Drosophila melanogaster: one gene and its partner. The gene in region 2 interacts genetically with the main gene of each other region. Each region holds a gene or a part of one and is shown on either strand. Other genes may lie near its edges. The genes, in order: hop and CG4793.

Evidence for each region.
Region 1: of CG4793 (region 2) and hop, changing one suppresses a phenotype caused by changing the other (phenotypic suppression), as found in Drosophila melanogaster (one study listed by BioGRID).

What each region holds. Positions count from the first base shown.
Region 1 is NC_004354.4:11,361,986-11,369,853, forward strand, and holds the start of hop (hopscotch), read right to left. Parts: upstream 6,114-7,868; 5' UTR 5,478-6,113; coding exon 4,416-5,477; intron 4,146-4,415; coding exon 3,985-4,145; intron 3,255-3,984; coding exon 3,048-3,254; intron 2,819-3,047; coding exon 2,499-2,818; intron 2,439-2,498; coding exon 1,976-2,438; intron 1,862-1,975; coding exon 1,512-1,861; intron 1,444-1,511; coding exon 1,007-1,443; intron 502-1,006; coding exon 323-501; intron 251-322; coding exon 86-250; intron 20-85; coding exon 1-19. Other genes in the region: Tim8, read left to right, coding at 6,551-6,640, 6,719-6,895. UniProt on the Drosophila melanogaster protein: Tyrosine kinase of the non-receptor type, phosphorylates the marelle protein. Required maternally for the establishment of the normal array of embryonic segments: involved in the control of pair-rule gene transcription in a stripe-specific manner.
Region 2 is NT_033779.5:15,921,711-15,926,976, forward strand, and holds CG4793 (uncharacterized protein), read left to right. Parts: upstream 1-1,684; 5' UTR 1,685-1,699; coding exon 1,700-1,909; intron 1,910-1,970; coding exon 1,971-4,493; 3' UTR 4,494-4,577; downstream 4,578-5,266.

The DNA of each region.
Region 1 (7,868 bases), on a different chromosome or scaffold from region 2:
ACTGGCCGGACGATTTAAGCTGTAAGCAAACGAATTACTCGAATTACTCAACAAGTTGATGGACCCAAATCTCACGATAACTCACCGTTCGCCGCTCTGAAGGCGATTGAGGAAATCCTCCTGCGATGTCTGGATCGGCACCAAATTGGGCTCCTCGCCGCGCGAAAACATTTCGAAGAGCGTCACGCCATAGCTCCAAACATCCGAATACGATGAGAATCTGCAGGTGGAGATGGCCTCCGGAGAGTACCTGACCAATGGAAAGCAAAGATATTCAGTTGCGATAGTGGCCTACCGTCAATCCATCTTCTTTTTTTCTTACCATCTAATGGGAATATCACGCTTGCTTTTCGCATAGTAATATCCATCGGAATTGGCGAATTGCGCCAGGCCGAAGTCTGAGATTTTGACGCAGTCACCATCGCCGTTGTGGTCCACCAAAATGTTGCGGGCGGCCAGGTCGCGGTGGATGAGTCCCATGTCGGACAAGTATTTCATGCCCTGCGACGAGAAGCATTTGGATTAAGTACTGGATCAAAAGGAAATATCTCTTCTAAAGTCGTAAACATGAGTTTTCTATACCAAAGTTCTTTTTTGTGGTTTTTTGTCCAAAATGGGCAGTTTTTTGGCCACATCTTGGGTAGTAGTAGCCCAAATATGGATTGTTATACCTCGTTTGGCTCGTAATTTAATTCCCAATCGATTGGGGTTCAAAATGGGAACTTTTAATTTTTTGCCATTTTTTGCAAATTTTGATGATGTTACCCCTTGTAAAAAATTCAAAAAAATGGAAAAATTTTGAATCCACCAAATTCAAAAAAAAAGAAATAGGATTTGTTAATTGGGATCATAAGCTTTTAAAAACAGTCATTCCCTTCGAAATTTGACCACTTTTGGCCAAGTTATGATGCAAAAACCCTTAAAATATTTGTAGATTTTTCTTTGAGTTTTCCCTCTTTTTTCCGGAAAACTTGTTCCGTTCTAAAGCCATATTCGAACCACTCACATTTGCAATATCTAAAGCGAAGCTGACGAGCCGTGGATTATTGAGATTGGGTGCCGTGAAACGCAGGTAAATGTCGAAGGAACCAGATTGCAGATATTCCATAATGATGCAGTGCGACTTCTCAGCCCAATACTTGAACTTGACTATGTTCGGATGACTGAGGGTGCGCATGATGCCGATCTCGCGATGAAAATCGGTCGACACCTGCATGGTGTTCAGCATCTTGATGGCAACCTGCTCGCGCGGCTGATCCTTGTCGTTGAACTCCAGATGACCCTTGTAGACAGTGCCATAATGACCGCGCCCGATCATGTTCTCCATGTTGTAGATCACTCGACATTCGCTGGTCAGCGGTATGACCATCAACATATTCGAACGCGGAAAGGGTAGAAAGGGTATGTCGCTTCTATCGATCACGGTCTCGTCTCCAGTTCCATCTGGAAAAAAAAATAGAAGATGAAATGTATGCCAATCTCGTAACGCTGCTTTCGTCTGCTCAACTTACTCGTTGCGATCTCGGGTGGCGGCATATAATTGGGCAGAATTTCCGCCTTGATCGTGTTGAGACGCGAGAAAATGTCGTGGTGACTGAAGCGCTTGGTCTCATCATCGGACCATCCATCCATGATTGTCTCGAATATCGGCGCCGGACAGATGTCCTGATCGAGCATCTTGAGTATGTTGCCATCGAGATTTTTCTGCCTGAGTAGCTGCTCCTGGCGCAGTGTGCTCAGATCTTCCTTGCAGCGCGAGAAGATCTCGTATATGGTGGTAGCGAAGGCCCACAGCTGGGCAAACTGATCCGTTTTGGCTGCTTGCAAATTGCGATAATACTTAACAGGTATCCATGGCGAGCTGAAAGTGGAGAATGAATGATGTTATTTAAAATGCTGTTTGCTTTTTTTTTGTTTTATCAAAGAGTATGACCCAACCGAGAAGATGATTAAGTTGTATTTGTCGGCTACTCACTCGGATTCTCGGTAGGGACGCGGATAGCCGGGATCGCTAATTTTCGCGTCTAGCACGTACGAATTCGGATCGTACTTGGTCACGTACAGATTACTGCATCGTATGTAATTGTGGATAATCTTGTTGTCCTCCAAATAGTGCATGCCGCGCACCAATCCATGCATCAGATCCAGTAGACAATGCAGTGTTACATTGGGCATCGAGTGCAGGAACTTATTGAGCGGACCATACCGCGAATACTCCATGACCATTGTGTACGGATCGGCGAGCGTTAGGCCGTACAGCTTGAGGAACTGCGGCGACTGGATGAGGCTCCAGGTCTGTGCCAAGCGAAAGAACTCCATGAAATTGCCATCGCTCTTTAGCATTTTCATCGTCACGGACACATCCTTGACGGGACTCTGTTGGATCCAATCGCCGCGCATCGTAAACATCATGCCATCGTCGCTAAGCGATATCGAATCTGCGCAAAAGACGAGCGATTAGAACGAAGCAAGGCATTAGAATATATAGTATGACCCACCTGGATACCACTGCAGATCCGTTCGGGGATTGAAGATCTGCGGATTGCGGCGCTGCAGCTCCGCCTCGCTCAGCTGGAGGTCAGTCTTTTTGGCCTTGAGGTTCTTTGGCAGCAGCAGTAGCAGCAGCGGCGGCTTGTCATATTTGGAGGCGGGTATGCGATAGCGATCGGGACTATCCGCTTGAATGATGTGCGCCACTTCGTGCAGTGAGTTTAGTACATGCTCGCCGTTGTTGTAGCTTAGCTTCCATTGCGAGTCCTTGCGCACGATCCTAAATGTCTCCGTCTTGCAGCGTTCCTGATCGGTTTTCTTGGCCATGCTGCAAAGGTGAGCGGGATTTTCGCATGAGATAAAACCGATCACATCTAATTTGGGCATCATCAATCACACACACACACAGGCAATCATCAGTAAGCGAAACAATTGGCCACATAGCGCACACAGCATTTTTGTGTATCATGTGGCATTGCATACAGAAATGTTTGTAAGCCTGATAACCAGCGAGGAGGAAGTAACTGATAACTGTGTGAAGGCGCGCATGTACTCACATTTTGGTGTTGATATCGATGTAGTATATGTTGTATTCTCGATCGCATTCACGCACAATATAGCTGCCGCACTTGTCACCGTTCTCGTGCAGCTTCATCAGCGAGTAGGCACCGCCGATTGGACCATGGCAGTGGAGGGAGCTCAGCTCCTCCAGGGAGGGCGTGCGGTACGAATGGCACAGATCCTGCATCCATTTGCTCGACAATCTGCAAGGAATAAACGGATGGCAAATACGAGTTATAAGTTGCGCACATTTGTTGCTGTCCATTGGCATTGTTATTATTATTATTATTATTATTATTATTGCATTTGAAAAGTGATTCTATAGCTGGGAATCAATTGTTTCAATTACGTACATATAACTTTATTGAGTTATTGAGAAGTACTGCACATTGACGCAGGCGATATAAATAGCAATGTAACATTTAAAACCGATTAGTGCGTAATTATTTAATCAATTTAACTGAAGAAATCTTCTGAAAGCATTTAGTTTTAAATTTCTTGCTTGTTTTAATTTTAGCCTGATAACGAAAACCGACTTTGTGTGTTGGATTACAAAACAAACAGGGACTTGGTTTTAACAAACTCTTTAAACAAAAAAGCAAGCATTTCAAGCACTGTATTTAATCGTGTTATCAAATGTCATATTTATGTGGGAATCATTAACTTTTAAGTGGAATTATTATGTTATTAAATGAGTTCGTGGAATTGATGACTTGATGTTTTTTTTTTTAAATCAATGGATGTTAAAAAAAACAATTGAGTAGTTTGATTAAGAACATTGGGCACTGATTATTGTTACACGAACACTACAATGAGATGCCTATAAATTCTGGTGAAAAAAAGACCAAGCAAGTTCGGCTTAAAAGATTAAAATTTAGTTGGAAGCGAACTCTTTGGGATCTAAAGCTCACCGATTACAAGTGAACCACTCACCTGATGTAGATACCCAGGTAGGAGATGAAGGACTTCATCTCCTTCTCCGTCTGAAACTGCATCTCGTAGCCCTTGGGCAGACCAACGATTTCCAGCCGCACAGAGGTGTCGTTGATTTTGGAGATCATAAAAATTCCTTCCACGGCGCCAACAAGGATCCACTGCAGAGGAAATGAGGATTATCAATGGGATGCTAGTGCAATTACATATGGTATGTATGTATGAATATTTCAAGAATCTTTGCCAGCGATAAGCAACTTGATTACCAAGACAATCGCGTTAATTAAATTGAGAAATCTATCAAAATGTTTTTTAAATATTATAATATTAATGGTATTTCCATATTTAAAATGGCCAGCATTAAAATGCGCATTTCGATGGGAAAACCACAAGAAACCATATAAGATTTCAGAAGGAAACATAGTGTGTACCTTGAGTGTGGCCTCGGAGGTGACCCTGGCCACCTTGAGTCCAGGCTCCAGGGAATCGTGTGGAAAGACTCGCACATAGACATCGATTCCACCGCTGGTGGAACGTCGTTTGGCCTTCTTGCCACTGCCGCCGAGTGCAACGGAATTGGTGTTGGTGGTGAGCGTGGACAGAGTGTTGGTCGATCCAGAACTGGCCAGCGTCGACGTCGAGTGGGCCAGACTGGTGCCGATGGGTCCGCTACCGCGGGCCACCTCCTCGTTGGGCAGATACTGAACGGTGCAGGTGAACTGTTCGGTCATATAGGTGGGCGCCAAATGGGATACCTGATGCACATAGTGCCACTTCAAACGCTCCACACTCAGCGAATTCGCTTTTAGACTGCGGAAAACCTCACGTATCTTGGAGCCCACAAAGAAGCTGTGGGCGCGCCACAAGCTCGGTGGCAAATACAGTTTGTAAAGCTTCTCGATGGAGCGCATCGCCTGCTGATCCTCCGACTGTTCCTGATCGTCGATTAGCATATCCATCACGGCCAGTCCCGTTGATTTGTCCTTGTGCTCCGGATAGCGAATCTCCGGGATTTGCTCGGTCCGCATATCGTAGCGCATTTGGCGGTAGAGGAACTTGTGGCTCCGTCCATCGATCAACTCCAGCTGGCTATCCAATTCGGGCACACGGAAACGCATCCGAAAGCAATAGACCAGCTGGCAGTTGAGTCGCTCGCCGGGCAGGCACCACGTCAGATCCAAACGCACCAGCGGCGAGGGACGTCGCGATGTCGAGTGCTCCCGTATTCCGTAGAGCAGCTGGGCAATTGGTGCAATGCCCAGCTGGCGGCACATCGTATTGCAGATCTCCTCGCACAGCATGTTGGGATGGAAACGCTCAAATTCGCCGGTGGTGAAGTTGAACACACGGATTGTGCCATCGTTGGTGTGGATGCTCTGCGAGGAGGTGCCGCTGCGCAGCGAGGAGTTCGTCAGGCTGGCGCTGTCCGCCAGCGAAGTGCGTCCGCTGCTGCTGTCGTCCATTCTATCCTCTCCCCCGTTGGCCAGGGCCATGAGAGGATTGTCGGTGAGTGGTCCCTTGTGGGCTGGGTGCTATCTGCTGCTCCTGCAAGCCCAGTTCCTTGGCTGGAGCAGTTTCCTTACGCGGCCGCACTGAAGCTAGATCATGGGAGCTTTCCTAGGAATTTGCCGCGTTCTATCCGTTTCCTCTTCTTCTTGCCAATAACAATGACCACCGCGACTGACTTGAGTTGCTATTTTTGGGCTTACTGCGAATGCTCCTGGAATCGGCGATGCTCTTACCCTTGCAGTTGCAAGGTTGCCCCAAACTCCAGCGCGAGTTCCATTGATGCCACTGGCGGGGAACCACCTGGACTGCTCCTTCTTTTAGCAAGCGCCAACTTTCCGAGCAAGAACCACTTCGCCACTTGGGCGATCCGTCAGCAAAGTAAACTGGAAATCGGAAATCACAGTGCACTGGTCCGAAATTAGACACCCGAAACGCCAGCTAGATCCCGAAATTTGTGGGGCGTTGTGGGAACAGGGCGACGGGACTGGATGGCGATTATAGACGCCTTCGATCTGAAAGTGGGCCTGCTGTCGAAACGAAGCTGCAATTGCGAAGCTACAATACAAGCCACGAATTTCAGTGAAATTCATCGGACAATTTGCACCTCACGATATCGATTGGCCGACGGCCGAGCCACTTTGTCATCGATTGTCCAATAACCTGTACTATCGCACCTTGCGAACCAGTGGTTGGCAACGCGAGGTTCTAGTTCTTTTTCGATAGTTCTCAGTAAATATAAATAACAACTTACTTTAGAAATGTATTCTTGAAAATTGTATACCCTCGTTGGCAGGAGGAGGATGCTTAAGAAAAAAAAATATACTGTTATTTGCTCTATGGCGTCTATATTCTTGCCATTTAAATATGACAACAGTGCAAACAGTGCAATATGCACGGCATTTCCAGTATCGAATAGCTTTGCTATCGAATACACATCGATTTTTGTAATTCCACAGTTCACAGCTGTCAGTGTCGTTTATATAACCTCAAACCTTAGAATATATGAAATTCCGGACGAGCCCGGTCAATTTGTAGATTGCTCACTGAAAATCACACGATGTCCGATTTTGAGAACCTTTCCGGCAATGACAAGGAGCTGCAGGAGTTCCTCTTGATTGAGAAACAGAAGGCACAGGTCAACGCGCAGGTGAGCCGGGTTCCCCCATACACATAATAACCATTCGTAATCATAACAATATGCCCTCGCACATTATATCGTCGCCAGATACACGAGTTCAACGAGATCTGCTGGGAGAAGTGCATCGGCAAGCCGAGTACCAAGCTGGACCACGCCACCGAGACGTGCCTGAGCAACTGCGTCGACCGATTCATCGACACGTCGCTGCTTATCACCCAGCGGTTCGCTCAGATGCTCCAAAAGCGAGGTGGCGGCGACCTGTAGATTTGTTCGCTTAATCGACACCGACACCGGGATCTGGGTATCCGAGTCCGTGGACGCTTCCGTCACTGTCCTACTGTTAAATCTATTTTTAAACAAAAAATTATCATGTAAGCACATTTTTTTCCGCGCTGCGTTTCGCCGCCGACATCCAAAGTATGTGGCCCGTAGTCTGCACCCAGCCCGAAATTGAAATCCGTGATTCGAGTTCCGGAATTAATATTTAATTCGGTAGCGCAACTCAATTGTTTGGTCGGCCCTACGTTAGCGTACCGAAAATAAATACATCTTTCGTTTCGTACGTTTAAAATGCATTGTGTTGTAATCCTTTGCTTGGATAGTTTTAATCTCTTCTTTTATAATGATGAAATATTGTTGATAGATGGCTTAATATTATGCAGAAAGGAAAATAGAATTGAAATTGGATCATTTCAACATACATTTAAATTTAATTAGGCTGGAAAGGGGCTTAGAATGAAATAGTAGGTGTTCCTTAAATGTTTATTAGAATAAATAAAGTTATTCCATATCGATAGTATAGTGCTTCCACTCGATAAGTACCTATCGGCAACTTTCCAATTGGAATTCATATTTACGCAACTTTGAACACACAAATGTAGCTGCCATTTCCTGTATAAAATGTAATACTAAATGTAATATTAATGCATTTCTGCTAAATCCAAAGGTAATACTTGCAATGCTTGCGGACCTATTTCCCGCGCTCGCTTTGAACGTTTGCCCAGGACTTCTGATTGGGCTGCACACGCAGCGCGCCTCTGGTCACACTGATCCCAACTAGAACTAGTGTTCCCGTGAGCAGAGCAGAAAACCGTAATATATATTCTCCAACGTGCTGCCGCTACTTATTTATATTAAACATAAAATGCCCGAAGGCTGTGCCAAACGCATGTCCTTTTTGCCAGTGAGTGTGTGTCCGTGTATAATATACATAGCAAAATATACAGTCGGTGTCGGT
Region 2 (5,266 bases):
TGGGCAGTCACAGGAGCCCAATCTGCGTTTCGCCGCCCTTGCGCCCTGAAATAAACAATATTTTCGCACATTTACCCAAAGCACCTACTTCCACTTAGCAACCTTTCGCCGAAGGAGCGCTGCTTTTACACCATTTGGTCCATTCGAAGAGGAAGGGGAAAAGGGGACCCTTGAGCAAACCACTTGATGACGAAGACATTTTGCCAGCTAAAAAATCGTATTTACAACATAATTTACACTCAAAGTGAGCATGGTGAGGAGGTCGGCGAAAAGCCAGGCTGTGATGAAGAGCGGGCGAAAAGGGTGAACTTGGAGCCGTGTGGCCCATTCAAAGTGCCACCACTCAAGTGCCACTTTGCCTTACTTATGCCTGACCAGGATCCGTCTGAAAAATGGGACAATTTCATGCCCTTTAATGGCAAACTTTTAGTGGTCAATGCAATGGCTGCCGCACAACATCATCAAGATGCGGGAATTACCAGAACCGCCGTAAAGAAATGGCAAACTGGAATGAAGCTCCGGTCCTTACGTTAAATTATGTAAAAATATAATTCTCCTTAAAAAAGAACGAGAAAAGCATTTGGTAGCTGGTGTATGGGAAAATGACGGAAAAGGTGAAAATTGTATTACACGAAATCAAGTCGAGTTCTGCACTCGCTGATGCTTTCCGCTTGCCGCCCTTTGATGTCGTTGCGCGAAAATTGAATAAAAATAATTTGTAATGCGTTTGCACTGCGGCAGATGGCTGGTGAGTTTGTGGTTGAGCGCTGAATGAAATGGAAATTACGGGAAATTTTGTAAATTAATGAGATGTTAAGGGGGCGAACCAGCTTGACGTAATTAATGAAGAGAATGCGACCCAGAAAACCAATATATGGTAACGTATATAAATGCCCCCAAATTGGTGTTATTAGAGGTTGGCTGTAATGTTCAATGTACTTAAAGAATGAATTCATGATTTTTCTTATTTTTTGCATGCTTTTAAGTATTTGTTGTATGCGTTACCAGAGTCAAATAAATATAATATATATAAGAATATAAATATAAGCAATGAAAAGACCTAGCTTTCGTATATATGATTAAATTTACTGTTCTTGGTATGCATAAGTGCTTTAATGCACTATAAGAATAAGTAAAAATACCCGACATGCTTCATCTTAATTCGTTATCGGTGGCAAGAATTTCGAAGAAGCCTTATCAAATCAGAATTTAAACATGAGAGAATGTTATAGTCGAGTGCTTCGACAATGAGATACCTGTTACTCAGCTGATAAATTTAATAAATAAATAAATATAAACGGATATTTTCAAAAGATGTGGGAGCAGCAGTTTGGGCGGTTTTTGGGCTTGAGAGTGGGCGTGGCAAAAAGTAGTTAGGATTATCGATATCAAAAAAAAAAAAACATTTTTCAAAAGTGTGAGCGAGGCCCTTTGGTCGGCTTATGGGCGTTAGAGTGGGCGTGGAAACATTGGAACGGGCGGACAGACGGACATGGCCAGTTCGACTCGGCATTGATCCTGATCATACTCTATAAAGTCGAAAACGTTTCATTCTGCCTGTTAGATACTTTTCAGCGAATCTAGTATACCCTCTTACTATACGAGTAACGGGTATACAAATTGAATTAATGTTCGCTGGCGATACAATATGTTGACCGCTTATTCGCAAACGACAGTGTATTAAATTCAAGCGTTTAGAATGGATCGCCTTTCCATTCTGCTCTTGGTTCTTGGATTCTCCCGGATCCAGGCTCTTTTCTGTGGTGGGTCAATGGCGAAAGAGTGCGTACAGCGAAACCGTTGCCGTATTGGTACCGAAACGGGAAGACCAATCATAGATTTTAGAGGACTTAATAACGGTAATCAGGGATGTGAATCTGGCCAAACCTGCTGCCCGAAAACGGAAATAGTAATGCTAATCGAGAGCTATCACTTGAATGTTCTTTTTTGACAGCCCATTGTCTTTGCAGTTACAATATCCAGTACAGGCTGACAATCAACCGCTACCTACTGAATGTGGCCACGTGAACCGTATAGGAGTGGGCTTCACCATAACTAACGCGAGAGACATCGCACAGAAAGGCGAACTGCCATGGATGGTGGCCCTGCTCGATTCCAGAAGCCGTCTACCGTTAGGCGGCGGCTCCCTAATTACGCGGGATGTGGTGCTTACATCATCTACGAAAACTTTGGAAGTTCCTGAGAAATATCTTATTGTGAGGGCTGGCGAATGGGACTTTGAAAGCATCACCGAGGAGCGAGCACATGAGGACGTTGCGATCAGGAAGATCGTACGACATACCAATCTCAGTGTCGAAAATGGTGCCAATAATGCGGCCCTTCTGTTCCTCGCTAGACCGCTAAAACTAGACCATCACATAGGTCTCATTTGTTTGCCGCCGCCGAATCGAAACTTTATCCATAATCGCTGCATCGTCAGTGGCTGGGGCAAAAAAACAGCCTTGGACAACAGTTACATGAATATCCTGAAAAAGATCGAGTTGCCATTGGTGGACAGATCTGTGTGTCAAACGAAACTGCAAGGACCCTACGGCAAAGACTTCATTCTCGATAACAGCCTAATATGTGCCGGCGGAGAACCTGGCAAGGATACGTGCAAAGGCGATGGAGGTGCCCCACTTGCCTGCCCACTGCAAAGCGATCCTAACCGGTACGAACTGTTGGGAATCGTAAACTTTGGATTCGGATGTGGAGGGCCACTTCCTGCTGCCTACACTGATGTTTCCCAAATTCGAAGCTGGATTGATAATTGTATCCAAGCGGAAGCAGTCCACTATTCTCCTCAGTTGGGAAATGTAGGCCAATCACCTGCTCCACTCGATCGCTATATACCAAATATAGGCCTAGAAACTCAAAATGAAGTCCACAGCCCGGTTCAAGGATCTCTCCATAATGTCGTATATCAAACTGGTGGTGTTGGATATATTCGAGGTATGGGCCAAGGAACTGCTTTCCAAGGACCAGTTCAAGTTGGAGAACTTATTCCGAACGAAGGCACCGTATCTGGCGGACTTGTATATGATTCAAATGAAATCCAAAAATTTAATCAAGGTGGAATATACATTCCACATGTAGGCCAAGGAAATAGTGACAATAGATATTATCCAAATCCGGAAATCGGAGCAGTTCCAGTCGGAAATCCTATTCCGAATGAAGGCAATGCATTTGGCGGTCGTGGATATGATTTTAATGAAATCCAAAAACATAATCAAGGTGGGAGATACATTCCACATGTAGGTCATGGAAATGGTCCCAATGCACCTAAAGAACCTCTTAAAATCGGAGGAAATATTCCAAATGTAGGCCAAGGAAACAGGGGTAATAGATATGATCTAAATCCTGAAATCGGAGCAGTTCCAGTCGGAAATCCTATTCCGAATGAAGGCAATGCATTTGGCGGTCGTGGATATGATTTAAATGAAATCCAAAAACATAATCAAGGTGGAAGATACATTCCACATGTAGGTCATGGAAATGGTCCCAATGCACCTAAAGAACTTCTTAAAATCGGAGGAAATATTCCAAATGTAGGCCAAGGAAACAGAGGGAATATATATGATCCAAATCCGGAAATCGGAGCAGTTCCAGTCGGAAATCCTATTCCGAATGAAGGCAATGCATTTGGCGGTCGTGGATATGATTTAAATGAAATCCAAAAACATAATCAAGGTGGAAGATACATTCCACATGTAGGTCATGGAAATGGTCCCAATGCACCTAAAGAACCTCTTAAAATCGGAGGAAATATTCCAAATGTAGGCCAAGGAAACAGAGGGAATATATATGATCCAAATCCGGAAATCGGAGCAGTTCCAGTCGGAAATCCTATTCCGAATGAAGGCAATGCATTTGGCGGTCGTGGATATGATTTAAATGAAATCCAAAAACATAATCAAGGTGGAAGATACATTCCACATGTAGGTCATGGAAATGGTCCCAATGCACCTAAAGAACCTCTTAAAATCGGAGGAAATATTCCAAATGTAGGCCAAGGAAACAGAGGGAATAGATATGATCCAAATCCGGAAATCGGAGCAGTTCCAGTCGGAAATCCTATTCCGAATGAAGGCAATGCATTTGGCGGTCGTGGATATGATTTAAATGAAATCCAAAAACATAATCAAGGTGGAAGATACATTCCACATGTAGGTCATGGAAATGGTCCCAATGCACCTAAAGAACCTCTTAAAATCGGAGGAAATATTCCAAATGTAGGCCAAGGAAACAGAGGTAATAGATATGATCTAAATCCTGAAATCGGACATGCCACATTTGGTGCAACCGGTACCGGAATGCAAGGAAATAATATAGATAATCCATATAAAAACAATCTTGGTGACAGAGCAGAAAATGAATTGGAAAGGTTTCCTCTTGAAAATCCCAATAGGGATCATGTTATCAGGCTTAGTGATTTTTTAATCACAACGCCCACTCCGAGTGCACCTATAAAATTGGTAATAGAAAAGATCTAACATAATTTCATAATTTTATTATAGAGCTAGTAATCTAAAACAATATTATTTCCATATTACAATTATAATTATATTTGTTCTCTTTTTACCTGTCTTTTAAATTGTGATTTTTTTTAATATTGAAAGCGGAGAAATATATATAACTTTTATAAGCTCCCTTCAGGTCAGACAATCTAATTTTTGGTTTAGTGGTAACCATCTGTATTTTTAGTTTTGACTTTGTTGCTTGCATTGCGCATTACAAATGTGCAAGTATATTATCCAGATTATTAGCTGATATCGAGTTAGGCCATCAGCAGCTGGACACACTATCATCCTATTGATTCTGTGGCCCACCCAAAATCCGGCTAATTGTGCTGGACTTTGGCTGGAGTTTATTACGAAGCAAGCTGGCCCCAAATTGCCACCCACCAAATACAACCAATTTCGCAGAAACAACGCACAAAAACTGGCCCAATATGGGGGCTTACTATAGTTACATGGCACTCAGAGGCGAACGTCGAATGGGGAACACATTGCGGCCCTATTGCTTTTAGCCAGAGTTCGTTTCTTGTTTATTTGTTTGTTTGACTGATTTGCTGTTGTTTATTTTGATTTCCGGCTCAAATGCCGAGTGGGCAGAGGCGGATCCTTGTCGATTTCTACATTGATTGTGTTGTCGCAGCAGGAGTTCGATTTCCTCTGCTGGAGTGTGTGTATGTACTGGTGCTTGTACAGCAGCAGATTAGTGTTGACAAACAGTGAAATGGCAAAAGGTGATGCCGGCTCCTGCG